Macaca mulatta: one gene and its partners. The protein of the gene in region 7 binds, or shares a complex with, the protein of the main gene of each other region. Links are inferred from orthologs where the notes say so. Each region holds a gene or a part of one and is shown on either strand. Other genes may lie near its edges.

Region 1 (2,592 bases), on a different chromosome or scaffold from region 7:
CTGCTTAGGGCCCTGCATGCTATGTTGGGTATAATCCCGTTCCTCCCAGGAACCCAGGTCATGTTGGGAACTGTGGTCTAATGAGTCAGCTCAGCCAGTGAGTCATGCAGTCATGCACAGAGCCTGGGGGGCCTGCCATGACCTTTCTCCTGCCTTTGCTCCAGGTGTTTTTGGGTTTTTTTGTCTTCTAAATAGGGCCCCTCAAGTCAACAGCACAAGGAAACACTGCAACAATCCCAGGCCAGCACACACTATTACCGCTGGACTCACCATTGAACATTTCCATTTCTGAACGCAGGGTTTCTAAAATGTGGGAAAGGGAACAGAGAGAAGCTGGAGTTAGGTCCCTCAGCTAGGGACAGATGGAAGAGAGGTCGAAGGCAGGTCAGCAAGACCAGGGGTGGAGGAGGAGGGAAGTGAGGGGCTCTGGGCTATGTGAATCTTAGGGCGGAAGCAAGCATGCACCTCCAATCCTCTCCCAAGCCCATCTACCTAAGAAGTACTTTGCGTTCTTCTCCACAAACTCTAACTTCTGGTGGAGCAGTTGGATCTTCTGTTTCATCTCTTGAGGAGGAGTCCACCGTTCAGGGAGAGGCACTGTCTTAGCCCTAGAGACAAAAGACTGTTGGCCAGAGAGGGCTGGAACGAGGGGATGGCCCAAGTACCCGTGAGCTGGAAATGATCTACATTCTCCACAGGGCACACCTAGCCCAGCCTGAGCTACACAAAGAAAAGTCTTCTCTGGATTCAGAGGTCTAAATGCTGGTCCTCAACTTTGGCCACAGATTGTCATGTACTGGGGCGCTTTAAAGACATGGATATCAAAACCACAAGGAGTTTTCAGAATGGACTTAAAATGACATTGATATTATCTACCAGAATTATCTATGTCAAATTGATTATACATCCCTTTATTTCTTTCTATTGAAATAAAAATGGTAGTTAATGAAAAAAAAAAACAATAAAATACCCCTTCACATTCATTAGGATGGCTATTATAAAAACAGCAACAACAGGAGAAAATAGGCCAGGTATGGTGGCTCATGCCTGTAATCCTAGCACTTCAGGAGGCCAAGGCAGCTGGATTGCTTGAGCCCAGGAGTTCAAGTCCAGCCTGGGCAACATGGCAAAACCCTGTCTCTATTAAAAATACAAAAAAGTAGCTGGAAATGGTAGCACATGCCTGTAGTCCCAGCTACTCAGGAGGCTGAGGTAGGAGAATCACCTGAGCCCAGGAGTTGAGCCTGCAGTGAGCCGTGACTGTGCCACTGCTCTCCAGCTTGAGTGATGGGAATGAGACCTTGTCTCAGGAAGAAAAGAGAGAGAGAGAGAGAAATGGCTGGGCGCAGTGGCTCACATCTGTAATCCCAGCGCTTTGGGAGGCCAAGGTGGGTGGATCACTTGAGGTCAGGAGTTTGAGAACAGCCTGGCTGACATGGTGAAACCCTGTCTCTACCAAAAAAATTAGCTGGGCATGGTGGCACGCTCCTGTAGTCCCAGCTACTAGGGAGGCTGAGGTGGATGAACCCCTTGAACCTGGGAGGCAGAGGTTGTAGTGAGCCAAAGATGACGCCACTGCACTCCAACCTGGATGACGGAGCAAGACTCTGTCTCCAAAAAAAAGAAAAAGAGAGAAAGAGAGAGAAACAAGAAAATAAGTGATGGCAAAGATGTGGAGAAACTGGAGCCCTTGTGAACTGCTGGTGGGAATGGGAAGCAGTGCAGCCCCTGTGGGAATCAGGATGGTGGTTCCTCAAAAAAAATTAAACACAGAATGACCACATGGTCCCGCCGTTCCACTTCTGGGTATGTACCCAAAATAACTGAAAGCAGGGTCTCAAATAGATATTTGTATGCCCATGTTCATAGCAACATTATTCACAAACCAAAAGTTAGAAAAAATCCCAATGTCCATGAATGGATAAACGAAATGTAGTATGAACACACAATTGACTACTATTCAGCCATAAAAAGAAAATAAATTCTGATACACGTTACAACATGGATGAAGCCTGAAGACATTATGCTAAGTGAAGAAGCCAGACACAAAAGGACACTGGGATTTTGTAAAGCTCCCAGGTGATTTTAAGGCTTAGCCTCTTCCTGTCCCTTCCCTCCCCTTCCTGCTGGGCTCAACCCAGCTTCACTCCAAACAAGCTTCCCAAGGCCACCAGTAGGCCTGAAGGGGCAGTTTTCATAAGGTGAATTGCACGGGACACAATGCACTCAGCAAGTTTCTTAGGGAGCCTCCATCTTAGGATGGGCTGAATTCACCCTTCCCAGTCTGCAGCTCCACACCTGGTCAGCCTCCCTGCCGGCCAGATCCCCTTCTCCCTAAGCAAATCCAGAGGCTTTGCCTCCCTGCCGGCCAGATCCCCTTCTCCCTAAGCAAATCCGGAGGCTTTGGCTCCCTGCCGGCCAGATCCCCTTCTCCCTAAGCAAATCCGGAGGCTTTGGCTCCCTGCCGGCCAGATCCCCTTCTCCCTAAGCAAATCCGGAGGCTTTGGCTCCCTGCCGGCCAGATCCCCTTCTCCCTAAGCAAATCCAGAGGCTTTGCCTCCCTGCCGGCCAGATCCCCTTCTCCCTAAGCAA
Region 2 (3,500 bases), on a different chromosome or scaffold from region 7:
TTTTTGCTCCTTTGTTTTAATTACTTTTTAAATTGTGAAATTATTTTAAACTCACATAGAAGACACAGCAAGAGTACAGAGAGTTCCCATGTACCCTTCACCAGCTTCCCCAGTGATAACATCTTACATAGCCATAGTGCAATTACCAAAACCAGAAACCTGACATTGTAGAATACTAATTACTAAACTATAGATCTTATTCACATTTCACCCTGAACATCATCTTTTTTTTTTTTTTTTTTTTTTTTTTTTGAGACAGAGTTTCACTCTTGTTGCCCAGGCTGGAGTGCAATGGTGCAATCTCGGCTCACCACAACCTCCGCCTCCCGGGTTCAAGCAATTCTCCTGCCTCAGCCTCCTGAGTAGCTGGGATTGCAGGCATGCACCACCACGCCCTGCTAATTTTGTATTTTCAATAGAGACGGGGTTTCTCCATGTTGGTCAGACTGGTCTCGAACTCCCGACCTCAGGTGATCCGCCTGCCTCGGCCTCCCAAAGTGCTGGGATTACAGGCATAAGCCACCGCGCCTGGCTGAACATCATTTCTTAATTGTTCTGTTCTCAACTTGCCATATGGCATGCTTTTATCCCCTGTTGGTTACATAAAACCACAAGATTCTTCCAAGTATAAGTACTAAACAACACTATCATGTTTAAAAAATATATAAATTCATGCCCATTTTCAAATTCTTGACTAGGGGTTTACTCTATGTCCTATCACTAATTTTTTAATTTGGAAATTTTTTTAAAAGGTAGATGACTTCCCCTGCCTTTCTATTTTCTGCCAGCTCCTCCCACTTCCTCCCTTTATCCTCACCCTCAACCCTCAAGTTCTCCACCTCTTCCCAATGTAAACAAAGATCATATCATAGTCTAGATCACATAATAAAGAGAACAAAAATAAGTGGCCCCCAAATATTAACTTACCCATTGAGGAAAGGATCTGAGCTATTATTAGTGATGGATCTCATGTCTGGGGTCATCGTGGGTGGGTTGACAGCAGCCTGAACTGGAGCAAGAGTCTCAGCTTCCATGGGGAGCTGTCGACAGAGGGCAGCTTCCTACAGAAGTAACAACAGTCAGAGTGGGAAGCAAGAGTCATTCACTCATTGTCACAAGGCATGGAGCAGAGTGTATGTCACATCAAAACTTTTCACCAGGCCGGGCGCAGTGGCTCAAGCCTGTAATCCTAGCACTTTGGGAGGCCGAGACGGGCAGATCACGAGGTCAGGAGATCGAGACCATTCTGGCCAACACGGTGAAACCCCGTCTCTACTAAAAAAATACAAAAAACTAGCCAGGCGAGGTGGCGGGCGCCTGTAGTCCCAACTACTCGGGAGGCTGAGGCAGGAGAATGGCGTGAACCTGGGAGGCGGAACTTGCAATGAGCCGAGATCACACCACTGCGCTCCAGCCTGGGTGACAGAGCGAGATTCCGTCTCAAAAAAAACAAAAACTTTTCACCAAATACAAAGCACTGTGTATTTACTCCCAGCAAGTCAAAATCACCAGGTAACCACTGGTATTCTTTCTCTGAAGAAAGTCTTACAGACATAAGTCACTTCACATTCACAAAGTTAATGGGAAGCTCAGCTATTATTTGACCTAAGGGCACTTAACTGTTGCAATCATCCCACCCATGCAATTATTTAAACACCCAAATCATAGAAAGTCCTCTCAAAACACTTCTCAGAGACAAGGCTATTTCTATCTCAGGTTCTCAAACCAAATCTACATCAATCAAAGCAATCCGATTCCTCTGGACTATAAGGTACATTCTGGTCTTTGCCACTTACAGGCCAGTAAAACTGTGGAATTACAGAGTACAGGCTCTACATTAAATTGCATCTGGAAGTTTTATGTTTACAGACAGGAAAGCAAAACAATGAGTTGAAAGTTTACTTTGAAAAGCTAATCAGTGGCCAGGGGCGGTGGCTCACGTCCATAATCCCAGCACTTTGGGAGGTCGAGGTGGGCGGATCACTGGAGCCCACAAGTTCGAGACCAGCCTGGGCAACATGGTGAAACCTTGTCTCTACAAAAAACACAAAAATTAGCTGGGACTGGTGTTACTTGGGAGCCTGAGGTAGGAGGAGCCTCGTGCCTGGGAGGTTGAGACTAAAGTGAGCAGAGATCACGCCACTGCACTCTAGCCTGGATGACAGAGTGAGACGCTGTCTCAAAAAAAAGGAAAAAAAAAAAGTCAATCCATTTGACTACTTCGTTGACTAAAATGCTGAAGATTGGGGAAACATGTAGATCCAATCCAAATCCCACAGACAAGTAACTGTTTCACAGCATATGGATTTCATTAGCAAAAACAAATAATATAAACATTATTTTATAAAAGCTAGCATTACATTGCCAAGGAGAGTCCATCCAAAATGCTAGAAATCTACTGACTGCAATTACTTTCTCTAGGTATGATCTCCAGGAGTCTCTCCTTTTTGACAAACAACCAGACATCAAATTCCTTTCAAATTTGCTGCTGTTTCCAGAGAATACTTTTATATGTTTACATTTGCATCCCAAACTAAGGTTAGGCCTTTCCCCATATTTATGCCTATCAGTTTCCCACTTTCCATGCTGAAGTCATTGGTCTCACTGTCCCTCAAACCGTAAAACCATGGCTACAATGGCAAACAGAACATTTAGGACTTCTAAATTACAGTATCTTTGTTAGATCTCTTCCAGCCCTAACATGCTGTGACTTTAGAGGGTAACTGCTGTCTAGACAAGTCCTAGTGAAGTCATTGGCTATAAAAATTTTCAGTTACTAGAGTTCGTTGTGCTGTTACAAACCATGAGAGAACTGATTGATTAAAAAAAAAACAACTGTATTGTTAACTTATACTGAAATAAATTTTCTAGCTGGAAAGGGTCTCTGGCTCACTTCTGTTCATCTAAATTGCAAATAATCGAATACTTAACTAACAAATTTTATTCAGGAATCTATAAAAAGCAAACCAAAAAATGGAGATTTTTTTTGGTAAGAAGTTATTTTCATTCACCATCTAAATCTTGGAAGTGCCTTCTGAATAAACCTAGAAAAATCAAATGACTTTCTGATAGTTGTTTTTAACATGGCAGGCAGGGTGCATTAGAAACCTTATTATCCAACCAAAGTTTTCCTGAAAGCCTCAGAAGGAGCAACAAGGATTGAATCTGGCATAAAAAGCCTGGACCCCACCAGTCCCCATCCCTCAAGCACACTCACATACCCTGAGCCACAGTTTGAAAAAATGTACCTTGTCAATGGTAAATTTCTAGTACTTTATTAACCATAAATGCAAGAATCTTTTGACTCATAACCTCATTATCCAAAAACACGAACTTTACTAGAATATTCCATTTTTCAATCATTCTGAATAAATGTGGGAGTTTACCTCTAAACAAAGACACTTTTAATATAAAAGTTGATGAGATGGCTGCATTCCTTTCTATCTGACAAAACTTTATCAACATAAGTCCTAAGAATAAAAGTTGAGGCTGGGCAGTGG
Region 3 (2,699 bases), on a different chromosome or scaffold from region 7:
TTAAGTTATCCTAAATATGAAACGCAAAGTGTCCATAACTATACATCACTTTCCTGCCCAAATAGGGCCTGAAACGTTGAGTATGCAAGTACTAATTACAATGATTTAAGATTAGTCAGAAACATCACTAAGTAGCATCCCAAAGTGTACAAACCAGTTAAGCACGTATAAAATTAGTACTAATCCAGTTAGAATACAAAATGAAAATTATGAATGCTGCCCCAAATACCTGTGGTTCCACAAAATTTACAAGCCGACTATGTAACAAAGTAGACTCTAGTTTTAAGAAAACATTATTACAGTTCAATATCTATTCCAAAAATGTTCTTAAGTCCCACCAATAACGTCAAAAATCATTTATCTGGAAATTAGAACCATTTGAATGTTTGTACAAATTTGCAAATAACAAAATAAACAAAAAAAAAAAAAAATAGAAAAGACCTGTACAAAGCTGGCATTTAACCTTTTTTTCCAAAAGTTTAACAAGTCCATTAATTTAGCAGATTGATAACAGGCTACTTGGTTCTCATGTGAATTCTGTGGCAACATGAACAGGTCCAAAGCTGTTCAATGGAGGTGCAGAATGGAGATTCAGTTCTTTGTGATCCGTCAGTTCCGCAGAAAACAGGTAGTACAAACCAAAGTTTAACTTATCAAGACATGAGACCCATCACAGTATTACAAAAAGAGTATAAACTTTCCTTGGACCAAATGGATATTTAAAAAAAAAAAAACAAAAACAAAAACACACACAAATACAATCTGTATCTACTGCTTATATACAAAACGTGAAAGCACACCAGGATCTGAAAATCTTTTCTGCAATTATATGGTGTAGTGAGTTTGGCACTTCATTGTAATGAAATTTCCAATGGCACGGTCCTTATCTACAGCAGCACATAACCTGCACACATTGGGCAAACATCCTGTACAGGAAAAATGTCTTTGCTGCCAAGTCTGACGAAAGGAAAAAAGGAAGGTTTTTTTCGGGGTTTTTTTTTTTTCCGTTTTTTTTGTTTTGTTTTGTTTTGTTTTTTAAACCAAGAAAACTAAAAGGGAGTTGGTGAAGGACATCTTTGGACTGCTTCTCTCAGTTCCTGCTGTCAGACAATCTGAAGTACTTTTAAGTGTAACCTAGGAAAAAACACATACACACACACACACATACACACAAAATGAAAATATAGCCAAATTAAAATCAATTCAACTTAACATGTTCAGAGTGGCAGACATACTTAGGGGCAAAAAGCTAGAGCTTTCTCAAACAGCTCTAAAATCATTCAATGGGGAAAATTCTACTTTACAAAAAACCCTTCAGCATTTGATTTATATCAAATGTATTCATTTATTGAAGAGCTACTAAAAAGATGCAGCCATCAAACTGTCAAAAAGAAATCTTTAAAGCAGTTAAAGGAAGCTTCCTTCTGTTGAAGCTAGGAAGGAAAATTGATAAGCTGCAAAAAGGACAGAGAATGAATGATAAAAGATCCCTCTCTGCAAGGGGCAGTCAGTTGACATCAAAGATGTGCTAACCATGGCAAGTTACTGTGTTCCTCCCTTTTAAGTTCTATTTTTCAAAAGGTCTTTTGATATTGGGGTGAACTTACCTGCTCACTAATCCTCAGCCTGACACCCAGCTATGTGTCGTCGTCTTGACACTGTGCGGGAAGCTTTGGTTGGGCAACACATTGTCAAAGTTAAAATCCAATGTATCTCCATCCATGAGGTCATTCCGAATGATGGATTCCATGTCACAGTCTAAGCGCTCAATGAACATGCCATCCAAGTCACTTGGGAGCTTCTCCTGGTGGAGAAGGCCCATTCTGCCATAGCCATTGCAGCTGCTCACGGAGGAGTAGCCCGCCAGGGCACTCATCTGCATGGGGTGGGGCAGAGGCACTTGCACAGGTGTCTTCACTTGGGTCAGGCGGTTCATTCCCGAGGTGTGGGGCATGGTGCTTACCGTGTGGGACAGGGCACGCCCGTTAACTGCAGATGTCTGCTGAGCGTGTCCAGGGTGGGTATGGGAGCTGGGATTCATCATTTTGTTATGAGATGCCTGGCTGCCATAGGTTGACATGACCGAATTAGGGCCCATCATGACGTTCTGGCCCAGAACCCGGCTGTTGGGTTGAGCTACCCCAGGATCAACTGGTGTCATAATGTCATTGTGGGGAGGAGAGTCAGAAGTCAGCAACTCCTTCAAGAGTCCAGGTGCACAGTTATACTGACTCATCCCTCCGTAACTTGACTTATTGTCCTGAAGTGTTTGCATAGGCATCTGGGGTAAAGGGTTCATGCTGGATTGGCCATATGTATATTTTTGGTAGTTTGGGCTGGGTGAATTCAAACTGGTGTTTGGTGGCGCAAACGAGTAGCATGGTGTCTGCTGCATCATGGTGCCAGGTGAGGACTGGGTCGAAACAGTTAATGATGTTGGTGATGAGAGAAGGTTGAGATTATCCAAAAGATTTTCCATGTTTTCGGGATTGCTTATCTCAGACAGACTGGGTAAAGTAGAGGCCATCTTTGCGGCAGATGGCGGGTACACCATAGAATGCACATCCCCTTCTCCAAGATCATCCTGTTCGGTCATAATGGGTGAGAGTCTCCCACTAATAGTACTAGCATTTGAGCTAGTTCGAGGGCGAAATGTACTCCAGTTATCAAAGTCGTCGTTGCTATGAGAGCCAGGGCTT
Region 4 (3,500 bases), on a different chromosome or scaffold from region 7:
GGTGAGAATAACTTTGTTTTATTTTTAACTCATCATAACTACAAATAAGGCAGATGCCGAAGAGGATGCAAGGAGCAGACCACCTTGCCGTGAGATGCTTCTCCAGTCAGCGTAGGTCTGGCTGCTGTGCAGGAGACCAGGAGGAAGTTCAAGAATGCAGTCCTGGCACAGTGACAATATAAGAGACGACGCATTGTTCAGAAATTTCAGAATTTGTTGGAGCAAAGCAGTACAAAAGAAGTATTTCATTTGGAAATATTTCCCCCTCTGCCTGCATATTCCCCAAATTAAATAACATCTAAATATGGCATTCCCTTTATGAAAAGGGTACCCAAGTACTATTCTGTATTCACTTGTCTTTCTAAAAAGTTTCCCAAATAATACAAAGTATTTAATTGGGATTTGGAGGAATCTCTTCACTTCCCTTAACACCCATGTTTTAGCTTTATTTCTTAATCAACCAGGCTTAAGAAATATTTGGGGGAAAAGATAAAATAACATTCATAGCCATCCAACCAACCTCTAAGACAAAATAACAATATCTAATGGGGAATAAACAATAATGATTTGGTTTTCACCTAAGCATTTCTATTTTCTTTAAAACACGGGGAGAGAAAGGAGGGTGTTTAGACTGCTATGCAGTTAAGTTGCTAAAATCTATCAAGCTAGATGAAATTGCGTGTTACATATATGGATTTTAAATGTGTGTTATTGGTAGGATAGGGAGTCAGAATTAGCTGTGTTCATTCTGAAGGAGGAAAAAGCTACTGAAGGCTTATGGGAAGCTGCCTCTACATTTGTGGGGGGTTTATACTGGGAGAATATATTTCTGTACAATTCTAAACAGAAAACATCTGGGAAGGGACAGTATTTTCTCTCAGAAGGGTGTTTGTATGTGTGTGCTAGAGTGCAGCAAACTTCTCAGCCAGTAACTGCTGAATCTTTCTTTGTCTCAACTGGTTTCTTCCGATCAATGTATTCCCTCTCGCCTAATCTCTTGTCATCATGCCCATCTTTTACATCCTGGCCCCAAATCCCATTTACCTTCAGGAGAAGTACTTTCAGATCACCTCAGAATTAATCACTTTCCTTAACATAGCATATTACTGATCACCATTCCCAAAACATTCACTAGTCATATTAGAATTATTTATATATATAAGGCCGTCTTCTTTGCTTAATTGTGAACCCCAGAAAGGCATGAGCCTTTTTTTTCCTTTGTGTATCCTTTGATGCTGTAACACAGCATTTTTCATACAACACATGCTCTACAGATGCTTGCTGAATGGCTGACTTCTCTGAAAGGGAAAACAGCAGAATCTGAGAGGAGGCAGTGGAGCAGAGTTCTTCCTTCCCTGTGCTAACAGGTATGTGATTCCTATTATTTTCTTTGGTGGGAAGGGAAGCATGAGGCAGGCCACTGATCTCCAGTGGAAGTGAAGCCTGAGGATAGGCTAAGAATTGGGGAAATTAATAGGCTCCTAGGAGTCAGAATGCTCAGCTTCTATTCCTAGCATTGCTTAAAATTTTCAGGGGAAAGTACTTTATAACCCTTGCAGCATTTGGTGCCTTTATTAGAAAATCCTTTTATGTGTGATTTTGAGTTTTTATTTTCTCTCCTCACCAGGATAATGCACAGAAAGAGCTCAGGTGGGAGTCTCAGACACAGGGGTCTGACATGTATAATATACTCTACTGCACAGGATTATCGTGAGGGTTAAATGAAGTAATAAATGTAGATTACACTTAGCTCAGGACCTGCCACACACTTAGCTGAGGGCCAGGAATTCAATAACCAATGACTATCAATGTCAATCACTCTAGCTATTTTGTAGATGCAAAGTCCAATAGAAACAGAAAGGGTGCAAAGCTAAAACGTTTTAAATACTCAGATCCACACTCTAATCCATTAAAAAACAAAAAACAAAAAAGATAATCCCTAATTTTTCCTAACCTTGCATTTTTGCATTGAGAGGTGGTGACTTCCTAAAAAGGAGATAGATAGATAATCTGTATAACAATATAGGTAATCTAGATACCTATATCTTTATAAGGAAACCAGGCAGGGACACTTGAGAAACTCAACTCATGAAAACAAATGCTACTTTTCTGTTTTCACAAGGAAAACTGAACTGGGAGAGGGAGTGAGAGTGTGGGGGGTTGGGGAGCCCCATTAAAGCTTCTAGGGAGGAAGGGACAGTCCGAGGCCAGGACTTGCTGGTTGCACATACCTGGTGCTTGTCCGCAGTGGCGGGAGATGACCTGGACCTCACGTGGACAGGGCCGGCGAGGACGTCTGAGCGTTCCAGCAGGTCCTCAGCTGACATGGACTTCCCAGCCCTGGCCCCCCAGGAGGATGGCTCCCTGTGGGTCTCATCCACTCTCTGGGTGCCCCTTGTTCCACCGTTTGCTCCACTGAGCAGCTCCCTTGGGACCTGTGGGTCCCCGCGTCGCCGTTCCCAGAGGCGGCGGCCACCGGCAAAGGAGCTGCTGCGATCTCGGGGAGCCTGCGGGGTTTCTGCAACTGTGGCCGGCAGGAGTGTGGCCTCCCTGCGGGGCTGCAGGCTGGGCTCCCGCAGCGAGCTCAAGCTGGAGGCTGAGGTGAGGCCGGAGGGTTCCAGCGCCGCGGGGCCAGGCTGGAGGTAGGCACTCTGGGCGCGCTCGCGCAGTGGCCCGGGCTCCTGGAGGCTGCAGCCGGCGGCGGAGGTAGGCCTCTTGCCGGTCTTGCGCTGGATGTAGTCGGCCAGGGCGCTCTGCTGGAACTGCTTCAGCTCGGGCCCCGACAGGCTGAGCGTGGAGCAGGCCTTGCCATCGCGCTCGAAGAGGCGGCGCCGGTCGGCCACGTTGCTCTCCGGGAAACGCATCCCATTCCTCTGCGGGCCCAGGGGTGTTGGTTCGGCCTCCTCCGCGACCCCCACCTCGTTCATCTTCTCGGGCTCGGAGTAGGAGCGCTTCTTCTGCTCGGGAGTCAGGCGCCGGCGAGCCCCTCTCCGGGCGGCAGCGGGCATGGGCCTGGCCAGGTCGCCCTCCGCAGGGGTCACACTGTGCCGCTCCCGGGGCGTGTGCGGGGAGGCGGAAGCCGGCGCCTCGGGGCTCCGCAGCCCCACGTGGGCCGAGGAAGGCCGCGGCCGCCAGGACTTCGATGCCACAGGCGCCCCCAGCTCCAGGTCTCGGCGTCGAAAGGAAGTGGCCCCCAAGACACGAGACTGAGCATCCTTGATGCTGTTCCGGTAGGCGCGACTGAAGGGGGCATCCAGCAGGGGCGACTCGGGCGATCCGGGCCTGTCCCGCCACTCGGGCTCCCTCTCTGGCTCGCTGGAGAGCTGGAAGGTGCTCTGGCTGCGGAGGAGCCGAGCATCCGGCCTCTGGGGGCCACGGCCGCTGTCCGAGGCTCCTCCGCTCAGCTGCTGACCACAGGGCTGCCGGGAAGCCTCTTCCAACGTCAGCTCCCCGTTTTTGAAGTGCTGCTCCCCGTTGCCTAGGGGTTCAGCTGACTCAGA
Region 5 (3,500 bases), on a different chromosome or scaffold from region 7:
ACCTTGCAGAATGTGATTAAAATCATGGTTCCCAGAGCCAGCAAAAAGTCTGCCAATGTGTTATAACCATGAAAGGAGTAGGTGAAAAGTGTTTTTAAATTATTTATTTGGATAGAAAGTAGCTCTCCTGAAGTTTGCTACTTGCTGCTTCTACTATTTGAGGTTATTTTTCTCCTTACGACTAAAGGGTAGTATGAAAGAGTCTTAACACAACTGCATTTTTAATTTCTATCTGAGATTCACTTTATAACTGAGGACTAATGTGTATGTAACATGATTACCTCATTATTGAAAATGTGAAAGGACTAGCTGAAAATCACATCACCCTTCCTTTATGTCTCTCTCTTTCTCTACACACACACACACACACACACACACACACACACACACACACACACAGAATAATTCCTTTGGAAGGTAATTAGGAAAGATATCATTCCTATACTCACAGAGGAACCCCAAAAGATTATCTAAGATACCCAATCTCCTAGTAAGAAGTGGGATTGGTTTCTTAGGGGGGACATTTATGTGACTCGATGTTGTAATGCAGATCAGAAAAGGGAAAACCTTTTAAAAGGCACTGAAGGAGAGGCAAGACAGAAATTCAGTAGTTTGTCAAGACTGGACAAGCTACTCCAGCCAGGGACATTTTACAAGATACATATTCCCTGGACCATGAAGATGTCTTTTCGTAAAATGGAATTAAAAAAAGATAAGAGCTTCCCAAAATAAGCATGGTGATTGGCATAATGGTTAGCTGTGTTGTGTGACTTTTAAAAAGTCACTGAACCTCTCCAGTTCTCAGATTCCTCATCACTAAAATGAGGGGGTAGGGCTCTATTGCTAAAGTTCTCTCCCACCGCTATGGCTCATGATGTAATATAACAGGCCTACTCTTCTATTAATCTGGTTTCTAACTAAGACATCCCAAAACCTCTACCCCCCCTACCCTTACCTAACACCCCCCCACCTTCCCTCACCCTCCCTATACCCCTTAAAACTGATCTTAATGATGCTATCTGCAGATTTGTCACCTTAATGAAGGGCAGACAGGTGACACAGGGCAGGGTCCTGTGGCAACTGGCATCCTTCTGTGTTCTTGGAGGCAGCCCTATGGCAAGGCTTGGAACCATTGCCTCCTTTGATCTCTACCCACATGCACATTTCCCGCTGCTTCCCAAAGGTATTCCAAGATGGAGTCACTGACAGTGAGAAGAGGTAGTTGAGGATACTGCTGCAATCCACCTCTCCCCCGACTGCAGCATAGTACTTTGGGTTTCTCATGTTATTCCCTTGGAGATGATAGTCAAAAATGCCTTTTAAGACATATGCTTAGAATTTGACACACAAAACAAGTTATTTCAAAGTAGTCACCAGAAATTCAAAGCATTCAACCTGTCAACAAAGATCCTTCCTCACTTTGCAAATGATTGGCAATTTGAGACTGGAGCCCCAGCCAGTGAATCTGTGCTGTAGAAGAAATAAACACTAAGCTGATTGGTCTTAATAAATGCAAGCAAGCTATGTTCATGGCTACACACAGACCATGAAAGTCTGCATATAGCACCTCACGCAAGTCTCCATCAAGGCCTCTGATGGTCTAACTCCCTAAGAGAGAGGAAGTTGTGCATCACTCAGTTAATGTACTCTCCCAGCATCTGAAAGCAATATATTAATTATCCAAATGCATAAATTATTCCACAGCATATATATGAATGTATGAACCTCCAGGAGGGAACCAAAAGAATCCGTTTCCAAAGCACCACTGAAATGAAGACAAACACAATTCCCTGGGGCAGGGTAGCTGGGAAATTGGAAGAAAAAATTAGCTCCAGCACCCTTCTGCATCCCAAAACTCCCTACCTTTTTTCCAGCTTACATAGCTCCTGAAACTATTCCCTTTTATAAGCCTGAGGTGAGAGCTTTCTCCGGCTGCTGCACAGGATAGTAACTATACAAGACAGCACACACTCAATTCTCTCCAGCTTCCCACTTCCAAACTACGTGTTACACACTGTCTTCCACACATACTGTGCTCTTCAATTAAAAATGATCTAGAATATGGAAATTTTAAACAAATTTAAGCACATTGAAAACACTGATGTATGCCCACCCGTTAACAGTCCCAGTATTTGTATAAATTCAAACAATAAGCTTTAGAGCACATTCGGATTAATCTGTCTTTAGAGGTACTCCCTAAGCATACCAGAATAGACTGGTGGTTCACATGGTATTACTCAAGTAGTACATTGTTCCAACAAAAAGTCCTGTTAAAAAACATCCCCTCCCCCCAACCCTTGTCCTCACCCCCAAAACAAGAACCAATAAAAGGGGGAAATGATTAAAAGCATTTTTGCTGAGAATCTGCAGCTCTTGATTTGGCCGTTTAGATGAGATATTCCACCATCTCTGCATCAGGCTCTTGTCCCAGGATCTGAATGGGAGTTTTTCTTTCCAGAGTATTGGAGTGGAACACAGGCCCATCTAAATGGAAATAAGGGTTAGAAAACACTTAGGGATGAAGAAAAAACCTGTATTTCTAGAACTAGACACCATCAGAGCCCTCATGAAGCCAATGGCAAAGTGAGACTTGTCACCTCCCTCATTTACTTCTGCTAAGATAATGGCCTCCACTCATGCCTGTTCCCATCTTGGTGGATGAGAAGTCATTTACAGACTCTCTTCTCTCTCCCTTAGAACATGAAAAATTCAGTCCAAAGGATAACTCTGCCCAGACATCAGGCAACAAGAAATAAATCTGTATTTGAGAGCAGAACTAAACCAAAAGTTACCTGCTAAAGGGAATAATTACCTGCTTTGTCTGGATTGCAGGTCAAACTTGGTATAGACAAACGATGTGGTCCAGGACCGGTAGCTGGACTTGCAGGAACCTCAGCCTGAGCCACAGCTGGAGTTGGAGTTGGAGCTGGAGTTGGAGCTGCAGCCGTAGCTGAAGTTGGTGCCTGAGTCTGAGCAGGAGCAGAAGCCTGAGCCGCTGCTGAAGCCGGAACTGGAACCAGAGCCGGAGCTGGAACCGGAGCCGGAGCAGCTGGAGCAACCTGAACAGCAGCAGCAGCAGCAGCAGCAGCAGCAGCAGCAGCAGCAGCAGCAGGAGGAGGAGGAGGAGGAGGAGGAGGAGGAGCAACGGCAGCAGCTGAGGCAACAGAGGCAGCAGCTGGAATCTGACCAGCAGCAGCTGGAGAAACAGCAGCAGCAATAGCAGCAGCGGTGGCTGGAGACGGGGCAGCAGCAACAGCAGCAGCAGCAGCTGGAGCAGCAGCAACAGCAACTGGAGTAGCAGCTACCATGGTGGTGGTGATAGTGGCAGCAGTGGCGGTGATGGCGGCAGCAGTGGCGGCGGCAGCAACTGGAGCAGCAACAGAGATGGGAGCAACAGTTGCAGTTTTGTTCGATTCCGTCCCACGTTCAGTTTGGGTACTGCAGTCTCGGCTGCCTGTCTTGGAGTGAGCCGAGGGCAGGGGAGTCGAGGGGGGCACAGG
Region 6 (4,164 bases), on a different chromosome or scaffold from region 7:
CCACGGTGGGAAAGGTCTGGGATGTTGGAGGAACAGAAGGAAGGGTGGGGGAGGGATCCTTGTTCATGGGGGAGGGAGAGAGGCTCAAGCCAAGGTCAGCCGGGGTCAGAGCAGCGGGGCCGAGTTGGCCGAGGAAAGGACTTTGGCTTTTACTCTGAGACAGGCGCATGGGAGGGTTTGAGCAGAGGAGGGGGTGCTCTGGCCTCACTCTGGCTTCCAGCAGAGGATCCTGATTGGAGCTAAATTGACACGGGAGGGAGAGTATTCCGCCTAATAACTGCTTCCTGCCTATGTCCTCCACCCTACTCCCCACTCTCCAGCTAGAAACAGGGGAAGACGATTTTGTTCACGGCTGTTACATCCGGCACCAAGTGACCAAAACAGACAGTAGTTCTGCCCTTCATGTTGCTGGTGGTGGTGTGGGGTGCTTATAGGTTTTTCTAGTCTTCCTTCACAGGTGGAAACAAGAACGGTGAGACCTGTGAGGTTTATTTCAGCGCTACTCCCGGGCCTGGTATGCCTCCCAGGGAAGCTGGGGTGGGGGTGCAGCTGCCCCTCACCTGGGCCCACCCCACATGCATTCAGTCAGGGCCCCTACAGAGCAACGTTAGAGCCTTTAGACACAGGATCGAGGATCTTCACAGGGGTGAGGAGACACGCCCGGCCCATCCCTTCTTTCTCCCGCCGGCCTACAAGGATCTTTTTCTACGAAACTCTAACCAGGTCCCTCGTCAGCTGAAAATCCTTCGGTGGCTCCCCAGTGCCTTTGAGGCAAAGTCCAACCTCCTACGAGGCCCTGGGGCACAGCACATCTGACCCTTCCGGGCCTGCCCACCCCACGCCATCCCTGAGAGCTGCTCTCTAGGAGTTACTCTGAAGCAGTTGCCACTTCTTCCCTCGGGCCTTTTCCCTTGATAATTCTTCACTTCCTCTGGGAAGTCACCCCGACCCCCTGTCAGGTGACCCGCCTCTTAACGGTCGCTGCGTCCCGTCTCTCCCCCGCCAAAGCACACTTCCCTTTGCATTGTAATTGTCTGTTTACTTCGTCTGTCTCCCCCACTGGACCGGGAGCTACCCTTCGGGAGAGGCCTTGAATGTCCTGTCCGGGGCTGTGCCCTGCCCCAGGTACAGCTGGGCCCTCCGCAAACACTGGCTAAGGGAAGGAACGGGCGCTCTTCGCTAGCTGGGCCAGGCTGCTTTGCAAAACGGCCGTAGCATTTCACGCCGCCAGGAGCCACGTGCGGTGTCCGTTTCCTCGCTTCCTCCCCAGCAATGTGCATTTCCCTCGTCAATGCCACGCTCTCCAGGCGCCAGCCGGGCGGAGGAAATTTCCGCCCCCTCCTAAGCCCGAGGCGGGGGCGGGCGTCGGAAGGTCAGGTGTCCCGGCCCGCGCGCAGCGCCAGGGGGCGTCAGAAGCGCTCCGACCACGGGGCGCTGAGCAGGTGGGCGCGCGGCGTTCTGGCGGGGTCCCACCTCGCAGGGGCCTCGCTTCGCTCGACGTCCCGCCCCGGACAGTCCGAGCACCACGGACGACCCGCGCTGCGCCTGCGAACTCCGCCTCGGAGGAGCCCCCGCCCGGGCTCCCAGCGCCACGCGGCGCGAGCCCGGCCAGCCCCCGGCGCACCTGCTCGGGGAGTGGCCTTCGGCGGAGACGGGCCTCCGATTGGCGCGGAGGTGACAAAGGGGCGTGGCAGATGAGGCCCCTCCCCTCCCACCCCCTTGGAGTATTTAAGGGAGTTGGCGGCGCGGCTGCTCTCATTGCGCCGCGGTCCGGCCTTGTGAGTGGTACGTTTGCGCTGCTCCTGCGCGACTCGGCGACCCCAGTGCCTCGGCCACCATGCCGCGCTCTTTCCTCGTCAGAAAGCCCTCCGACCCCAATCGGAAGCCTAACTACAGCGAGCTGCAGGACTCTAATCCAGGTGTGTTGGAGGGGTGGTGGGCTCCAGGAGGTTTGGGGGAGACAGGCGAAGGCTGCGTGGGGGCCACCTGAGGGAGGCGGCCTGTCTGAGCCAGGATCGAGTCACAGGGTGTTTTGTGGAGCATTGCGGGCTCGGGCTCGGGCTCGGGAGACCGGGCAGGTGGGTCCCCAGTCCTGGGGATCGGTCTGGGTGGTTGGGGGAGTGCTGTGTAGAGAGCAGGGGTTTTGTGCTTGGGTGGCCTGTGTAGCCGGCGAGAGGCGGAGGAGCTCCGCGAGAGTGGGAGAGGAGGCCTGTGTCAGGAAGGCCCTCTGGACGCTGCTGGGGAGAGTCCGGAGTCCAGAGGGTTGAGGGGAGGGGTGGGGAGACGAGATGTGTGTGAGGAGGGGGATTGGGGCAGGGTGGTGGCTCCAGGGCTGGGGTGATGGGGTTCTGGCCTCAGGCTGGGGACTTGGGACTTAGGAGAGGGAGATCTGGAAATGACCCCCTTCAACTGGGGGTCCTACCTGTGAGAGACTCAGATTGGGTGACCTGGGCCAGGAGGGCAGGAACCTGGTCTGTCCTGTGGATCATTTTTTTTATCTAATTATGTGTTGAGAATCAGCCCTACCCAGCCCCTGGCCAGCGGTGGGTTCATGTTTGTTGATTGAGTGAATGATTTAATTAACGCCTGACTCTGCTTTTTCTCTCTCAGAGTTTACCTTCCAGCAGCCCTACGACCAGGCCCACCTGCTGGCAGCCATCCCACCTCCAGAGATCCTCAATCCCACCGCCTCGCTGCCAATGCTCATCTGGGACTCTGTCCTGGCGCCCCAAGCCCAGCCAATTGCCTGGGCCTCCCTTCGGCCCCAGGAGAGTCCCAGGGCGGCAGAGCTGACCTCCCTGTCGGACGAGGACAGTGGGAAAGGCTCCCAGCCTCCCAGCCCACCCTCACCGGCTACTTCGTCCTTCTCCTCTACTTCAGCCTCTTCCTTGGAGGCTGAGGCCTATGCTGCCTTCCCAGGCTTGGGCCAAGTGCCCAAGCAGCTGGCCCAGCTCTCTGAGGCCAAGGATCTCCAGTCTCGAAAGGCCTTCAACTGCAAATACTGCAACAAGGAATACCTCAGCCTGGGTGCCCTCAAGATGCACATCCGAAGCCACACGCTGCCCTGCGTCTGCGGAACCTGCGGGAAGGCCTTCTCCAGGCCCTGGCTGCTACAAGGCCATGTCCGGACCCACACTGGTAAGTGCCCCTCCAGGCGCCCCCACCGTTGCTTTCTGTGGCAGCTTTGTGAATTGGGACTTGCTGTTCTCATTCGCAAAGTTGTGGACACTGAGGCCCCGAGTCTCCTAACTTCCAGCTCAAGTTCAGGGGCCTGCTCTCTGGAAATGTTTGGCAGAAACGTTCCTTCATCAGCTAAGCAGATGAGCAAAGCAGACACCTTCCCAATCCCTGCAGCCTGTTTCTCAGCCAAATGGGCTGGAGCTGGATATCGGAAAAGTGCAACCAACACCTTGCTCTGGGGGCCACAGGTGTGAAGGGGCCCACCCAGCCCCACCCTCTCCCGGTCCGCCCCCTCCCTAGCCAGACAGGATGTTGTCAGACCCCCCACCTGGCTCTGAATCCTTTGAGAACTTTCTCAAAGCTTAGGCTGATGTTTCACTTCTGTGAGCCTCATTTTCTCTATCTTTCAGATGGGCATGAGAACAGCTTGTGGGGTTTCTGTACGGGCTAAATGCAGGAATGCATATGGGAATCACCTGGCAAAGTGCCGGGTACCTGCTAAACTGTCACAAAAATGGTTCCTTGGCATTTGCTCTGCTTCCCTGCTGTGTGACTTTGGGCAAGCAACTTAACCTCTCTGAGACTCGGGAGAATTATGATGGCATATGTTTTAGAGAGTGGCTGTAGGCCGGGCGCGGTGGCTCAAGCCTGTAATCCCAGCACTTTGGGAGGCCGAGACGGGCGGATCACAAGGTCAGGAGATCGAGACCAGCCTGGCTAACATGGTGAAACCCCGTCTCTACTAAAAAAAATACAAAAAACTAGCCGGGTGAGGTGGCAGGCGCCTGTAGTCCCAGCTACTCGGGAGGCTGAGGCAGGAGAATGGCGTAGACCCGGGAGGCGGAGCTGAGATGCGGCCACTGCACTCCAGCCTGGGCGACAGAGTGAGACTCCGTCTCAAAAAAAAAAAAAAAAAAAAAAAGAGAGTGGCTGTAAAGGTGGCTAATCACTTTATAGTAATTTATTATACCCGAATAGTTCTCA
Region 7 (2,542 bases):
CCACTCCCAACCCATCGCCAAGAACTGGAGAGAGACAGGAGGAGTGTCACAGGGGAACTTTATTGAGAGGAAACATGGTCACACCCAGCAGACATGCTTTCCTTCAATGTCGGTCTTGCACTGGCGCGCGCGCGCGCACACACACACACCCATCTCCAGCCCCTGCCACTGTCCAGTTCTCAGCCACAAGGCGGGACATTCCTCAATTCCTACGACCAGAGGCAGCAGGGGCAGGAGTGAGGCAAGAGGGAGGGGAGAAGTAGCCTGGTCCTGGGGTCGGGAGGAAGCGGTGCGGAGAGCAGTGCTGGGGTCATGACCAGTGGTTAGGTGCGCTCAACAGCTGCAAGAAGAGTGGGATCCCCAGCCCCAGGTGGCCTCAGCTCTGCCAGTCCCTCTCCACGGAGCCGTTTGGAGTAAGAACAGCGCCTGGGGGAGAAGGGTGGGGCCTCCCACCCCATATTAGTCCTCTCGGCAGGGTGGGGGACTGAAGGGGGCAGGGCAGGGTGGGGCGGTGGTGGGCAACACTCAGCTCTGGGGCTCCTGGGGAGCCTCGCCCCCCTCTTCCCCGGCGTTGTCGGCCGTCCACAGCGTCAGGTTGTCTCGCAGCAGCTGCATGATGAGGGTGCTGTCTTTGTAGGAGTCCTCGCTGAGGGTGTGCAGATCAGCCATGGCCTCATCGAAAGTGGTCTTGGCCAGCGAGATGGCCTCCTCGGGGCTGTTGGCGATCTCGTAGTGGAAGACGGAAAAGTTCAGGGCCAGGCCCAGGCGGATGGGATTGGTGGGCGGCATCTCCTTCTTGCTGATGTCCATGGCCTCCTGGTAGGCTGACCGGGCTGAGTCGATGATGCGCTTCTTGTCGTCACCAGTGGCCACCTCGGCCAAGTAGCGGTAGTAGTCGCCCTTCATCTTCAGGTAGAAGACCCTGCTCTCCGCGTCCCCAGCCTCCTTGATGAGATGGCTGTCCAGCAGGCCCAGCACGGTGTCGCACACGCCCCGGAGCTCAGTCTCCACCTTCTCCCGGTACTCACGCACCTCGGGGCCCTTCTCCTCCGAGCCCTCCTCGTTGCTTTTCTGCTCAATACTGGACAGGACCCTCCAGGCAGCCCTCTGGCCGCCCACCACATTCTTGTAGGCTACTGAGAGCAGGTTTCGCTCTTCGCAGGAGAGCTCCTCACCTTTCTCCACGGCGCCCTTCATGAAGGCTGCCATGTCCTCATAACGTTCGGCCTGCTCTGCCAGCTTGGCCTTCTGGATCAGACTGGCTCTCTCCATGGCTCTGGGGACACACAGGCGGGCGGCGGGCTAACTGCTGCCTGGGACCAATGCCGGACTCTGTGCCTCTCCTGCTCTTGGCCTGCCTTTTGGCTGGGTGGCCAGGCCCAGAGAAGGGTGGGGAGGAGCAGGGGGCGGGACCAGGGCCCAAGACCTGCCTCCGTCTCCTCTCCTCCCCACACCCTTTCCGGCTCTGCAGTAAAGGTAAAAAGGCTGGGATGTGGGGGTGAGTCATCAGAACAGTCAGCAGAAGAAATCTGGGCGTGGGCCCCACCTGCACAGGCACCTTTCCAGGCTCTAGGCTGCCCCCTCTTGTTCGGGGCTGGCATCATATGGCTGCTCACATCAGGAAACTGCCTGGCTTCTCAAATCAGATCCTCCTTCACAGCGCCCTTACAGAGGCTAAGGGCGGCTTTAGCCCCTGGCTGCTTCTGCCTCGACAGAGCCCATAAAGGTTCAGGAGGATGGGGTTCCCAATCCTGCCAGGTAACTTCTCCCCTTGATTCAGGTGAGGATAACTCATGTTTAGGTAGGGCCATAGAGTTTCCCAAGCACTTTCATATTCACCATCGAATTTAATCCCCACTGTGTCTCTGTGACACACACAGGACCACAGAGATGGGAACACTAAGTCTCAGAGAGGGGTGAGATTTGCTCAAAGTCACATAGCCACCACTTCCCTGAAACTCCTTTCTGCACCCTGCTTCCTTTAGCTTTTCTCCCGTTGAAGTCTCTGACCTATGAGCTCCAGGCTGTGTTTGGAAGTGAGATCCAGGCTCTTTCTCAATCTACCTGAAGATGGTTCCATCCCTCAGGCCTCACTCCCCCTCAGGGTCCCCTCTGAGCTCCCAGAATGCGCAGGTGGCAGCTTTCAGAGTGCCACTTAATGAAGTGTTTAACAAGCAGCCTCTGACGCTCCAGCCCAGCCTTTGTAATTAGTCACCCAGTAGGTTTGTTGTACACATTTCCCATCACTACACAATTTTCCCTTTCAAGTTGGTGGCCTGTTGCCACTTGTTTGAGGATTTACCCTCTGGCCCTCCACACCAGGTCACTTGCCCTCTCCAAGCCACATGCCATCAGGTACCAGTGGGGTTCACAGAGGGTGGGGTCCAGCTCCCCGGCTGTCCCACTTTCCTGCCTGACTCAGACTGCTCTCTGTCTGAGGCTGGGAAGCAGTCCAGTTTGATCCCCCAGGGGGGACGCTAGCAACCTGGGGAGAGAGAGGACTGAGAAAGGGAGGTGGCAGTGACACATACCATTCTGTTTT

The links.
Region 1: the proteins of SFN (region 7) and MEFV are in contact, whole or in part, in a crystal structure (PDB 8C28), measured with the Homo sapiens proteins. The link is inferred for Macaca mulatta from reciprocal best matches to the Homo sapiens genes SFN and MEFV. Residues at the interface, in NP_006133.1 of Homo sapiens: Glu14, Cys38, Asn42, Leu43, Ser45, Val46, Lys49, Arg56, Arg60, Glu115, Phe119, Lys122, Arg129, Tyr130, Pro167, Ile168, Gly171, Leu174, Asn175, Val178, Tyr181, Glu182, Asp215, Ile219, Leu222, Asn226, Leu229, Trp230; in NP_000234.1 of Homo sapiens: Arg205, Asn206, Ala207, Ser208, Ser209, Ala210, Gly211, Arg212, Leu213, Gln214, Gly215.
Region 2: the proteins of SFN (region 7) and WWTR1 are in contact, whole or in part, in a crystal structure (PDB 8R0Z), measured with the Homo sapiens proteins. The link is inferred for Macaca mulatta from reciprocal best matches to the Homo sapiens genes SFN and WWTR1. Residues at the interface, in NP_006133.1 of Homo sapiens: Cys38, Asn42, Ser45, Val46, Lys49, Arg56, Arg60, Phe119, Lys122, Arg129, Tyr130, Pro167, Ile168, Gly171, Leu174, Asn175, Val178, Tyr181, Glu182, Asp215, Leu218, Ile219, Leu222, Asp225, Asn226, Leu229, Trp230; in NP_001161750.1 of Homo sapiens: Arg86, Ser87, His88, Ser89, Ser90, Pro91, Ala92, Ser93, Leu94, Gln95.
Region 3: the proteins of SFN (region 7) and FOXO1 are in contact, whole or in part, in a crystal structure (PDB 8A62), measured with the Homo sapiens proteins. The link is inferred for Macaca mulatta from reciprocal best matches to the Homo sapiens genes SFN and FOXO1. Residues at the interface, in NP_006133.1 of Homo sapiens: Tyr19, Ser45, Lys49, Asn50, Arg56, Arg60, Lys122, Asp126, Arg129, Tyr130, Glu133, Gly171, Leu174, Asn175, Val178, Tyr181, Glu182, Leu218, Ile219, Leu222, Asp225, Asn226, Leu229, Trp230; in NP_002006.2 of Homo sapiens: Pro20, Arg21, Ser22, Cys23, Thr24, Trp25, Pro26, Leu27, Pro28, Arg29.
Region 4: the proteins of SFN (region 7) and SHROOM3 are in contact, whole or in part, in a crystal structure (PDB 6FCP), measured with the Homo sapiens proteins. The link is inferred for Macaca mulatta from reciprocal best matches to the Homo sapiens genes SFN and SHROOM3. Residues at the interface, in NP_006133.1 of Homo sapiens: Ser45, Val46, Lys49, Asn50, Arg56, Lys122, Arg129, Tyr130, Gly171, Leu174, Asn175, Val178, Tyr181, Glu182, Leu222, Asp225, Asn226, Leu229, Trp230; in NP_065910.3 of Homo sapiens: Arg1239, Ser1240, Arg1241, Ser1242, Ser1243, Ala1245, Thr1246.
Region 5: the proteins of SFN (region 7) and AMOT are in contact, whole or in part, in a crystal structure (PDB 7NPB), measured with the Homo sapiens proteins. The link is inferred for Macaca mulatta from reciprocal best matches to the Homo sapiens genes SFN and AMOT. Residues at the interface, in NP_006133.1 of Homo sapiens: Val46, Lys49, Asn50, Arg56, Arg60, Lys122, Arg129, Tyr130, Gly171, Leu174, Asn175, Val178, Tyr181, Glu182, Asp215, Leu222, Asp225, Asn226, Leu229, Trp230; in NP_001106962.1 of Homo sapiens: Val171, Arg172, Ser173, Leu174, Ser175, Glu176, Arg177, Leu178, Met179.
Region 6: the proteins of SFN (region 7) and SNAI1 are in contact, whole or in part, in a crystal structure (PDB 4QLI), measured with the Homo sapiens proteins. The link is inferred for Macaca mulatta from reciprocal best matches to the Homo sapiens genes SFN and SNAI1. Residues at the interface, in NP_006133.1 of Homo sapiens: Ser45, Lys49, Asn50, Arg56, Lys122, Asp126, Arg129, Tyr130, Leu174, Val178, Glu182, Ile219, Leu222, Asp225, Asn226, Leu229, Trp230; in NP_005976.2 of Homo sapiens: Ser175, His176, Thr177, Leu178, Pro179, Cys180.

What each region holds. Positions count from the first base shown.
Region 1 is NC_133425.1:4,480,246-4,482,837, forward strand, and holds part of MEFV (pyrin), read right to left. Parts: intron 984-2,592; exon of another isoform or gene 609-983; coding exon 493-608; exon of another isoform or gene 304-492; coding exon 271-303; coding exon of another isoform or gene 259-270; exon of another isoform or gene 196-258; intron 1-195. UniProt on the Homo sapiens protein: Involved in the regulation of innate immunity and the inflammatory response in response to IFNG/IFN-gamma.
Region 2 is NC_133407.1:52,529,438-52,532,937, forward strand, and holds part of WWTR1 (WW domain-containing transcription regulator protein 1), read right to left. Parts: intron 1,062-3,500; coding exon 928-1,061; intron 1-927. UniProt on the Homo sapiens protein: Transcriptional coactivator which acts as a downstream regulatory target in the Hippo signaling pathway that plays a pivotal role in organ size control and tumor suppression by restricting proliferation and promoting apoptosis.
Region 3 is NC_133422.1:20,018,911-20,021,609, forward strand, and holds part of FOXO1 (forkhead box protein O1), read right to left. Parts: coding exon 1,622-2,699; 3' UTR 1,608-1,621; intron 1,135-1,607; 3' UTR 1-1,134. UniProt on the Homo sapiens protein: Transcription factor that is the main target of insulin signaling and regulates metabolic homeostasis in response to oxidative stress.
Region 4 is NC_133410.1:57,067,237-57,070,736, forward strand, and holds part of SHROOM3 (protein Shroom3), read right to left. Parts: coding exon 2,232-3,500; intron 1-2,231. UniProt on the Homo sapiens protein: Controls cell shape changes in the neuroepithelium during neural tube closure. Induces apical constriction in epithelial cells by promoting the apical accumulation of F-actin and myosin II, and probably by bundling stress fibers.
Region 5 is NC_133426.1:119,487,164-119,490,663, forward strand, and holds part of AMOT (angiomotin), read right to left. Parts: coding exon 2,813-3,500; intron 2,485-2,812; coding exon 2,387-2,484; 3' UTR 1-2,386.
Region 6 is NC_133415.1:102,822,937-102,827,100, forward strand, and holds the start of SNAI1 (zinc finger protein SNAI1), read left to right. Parts: upstream 1-1,364; 5' UTR 1,365-1,837; coding exon 1,838-1,919; intron 1,920-2,610; coding exon 2,611-3,138; intron 3,139-4,164. UniProt on the Homo sapiens protein: Involved in induction of the epithelial to mesenchymal transition (EMT), formation and maintenance of embryonic mesoderm, growth arrest, survival and cell migration.
Region 7 is NC_133406.1:214,122,291-214,124,832, forward strand, and holds SFN (14-3-3 protein sigma), read right to left. Parts: upstream 1,338-2,542; 5' UTR 1,273-1,337; coding exon 526-1,272; 3' UTR 501-525; downstream 1-500. UniProt on the Homo sapiens protein: Adapter protein implicated in the regulation of a large spectrum of both general and specialized signaling pathways. Binds to a large number of partners, usually by recognition of a phosphoserine or phosphothreonine motif.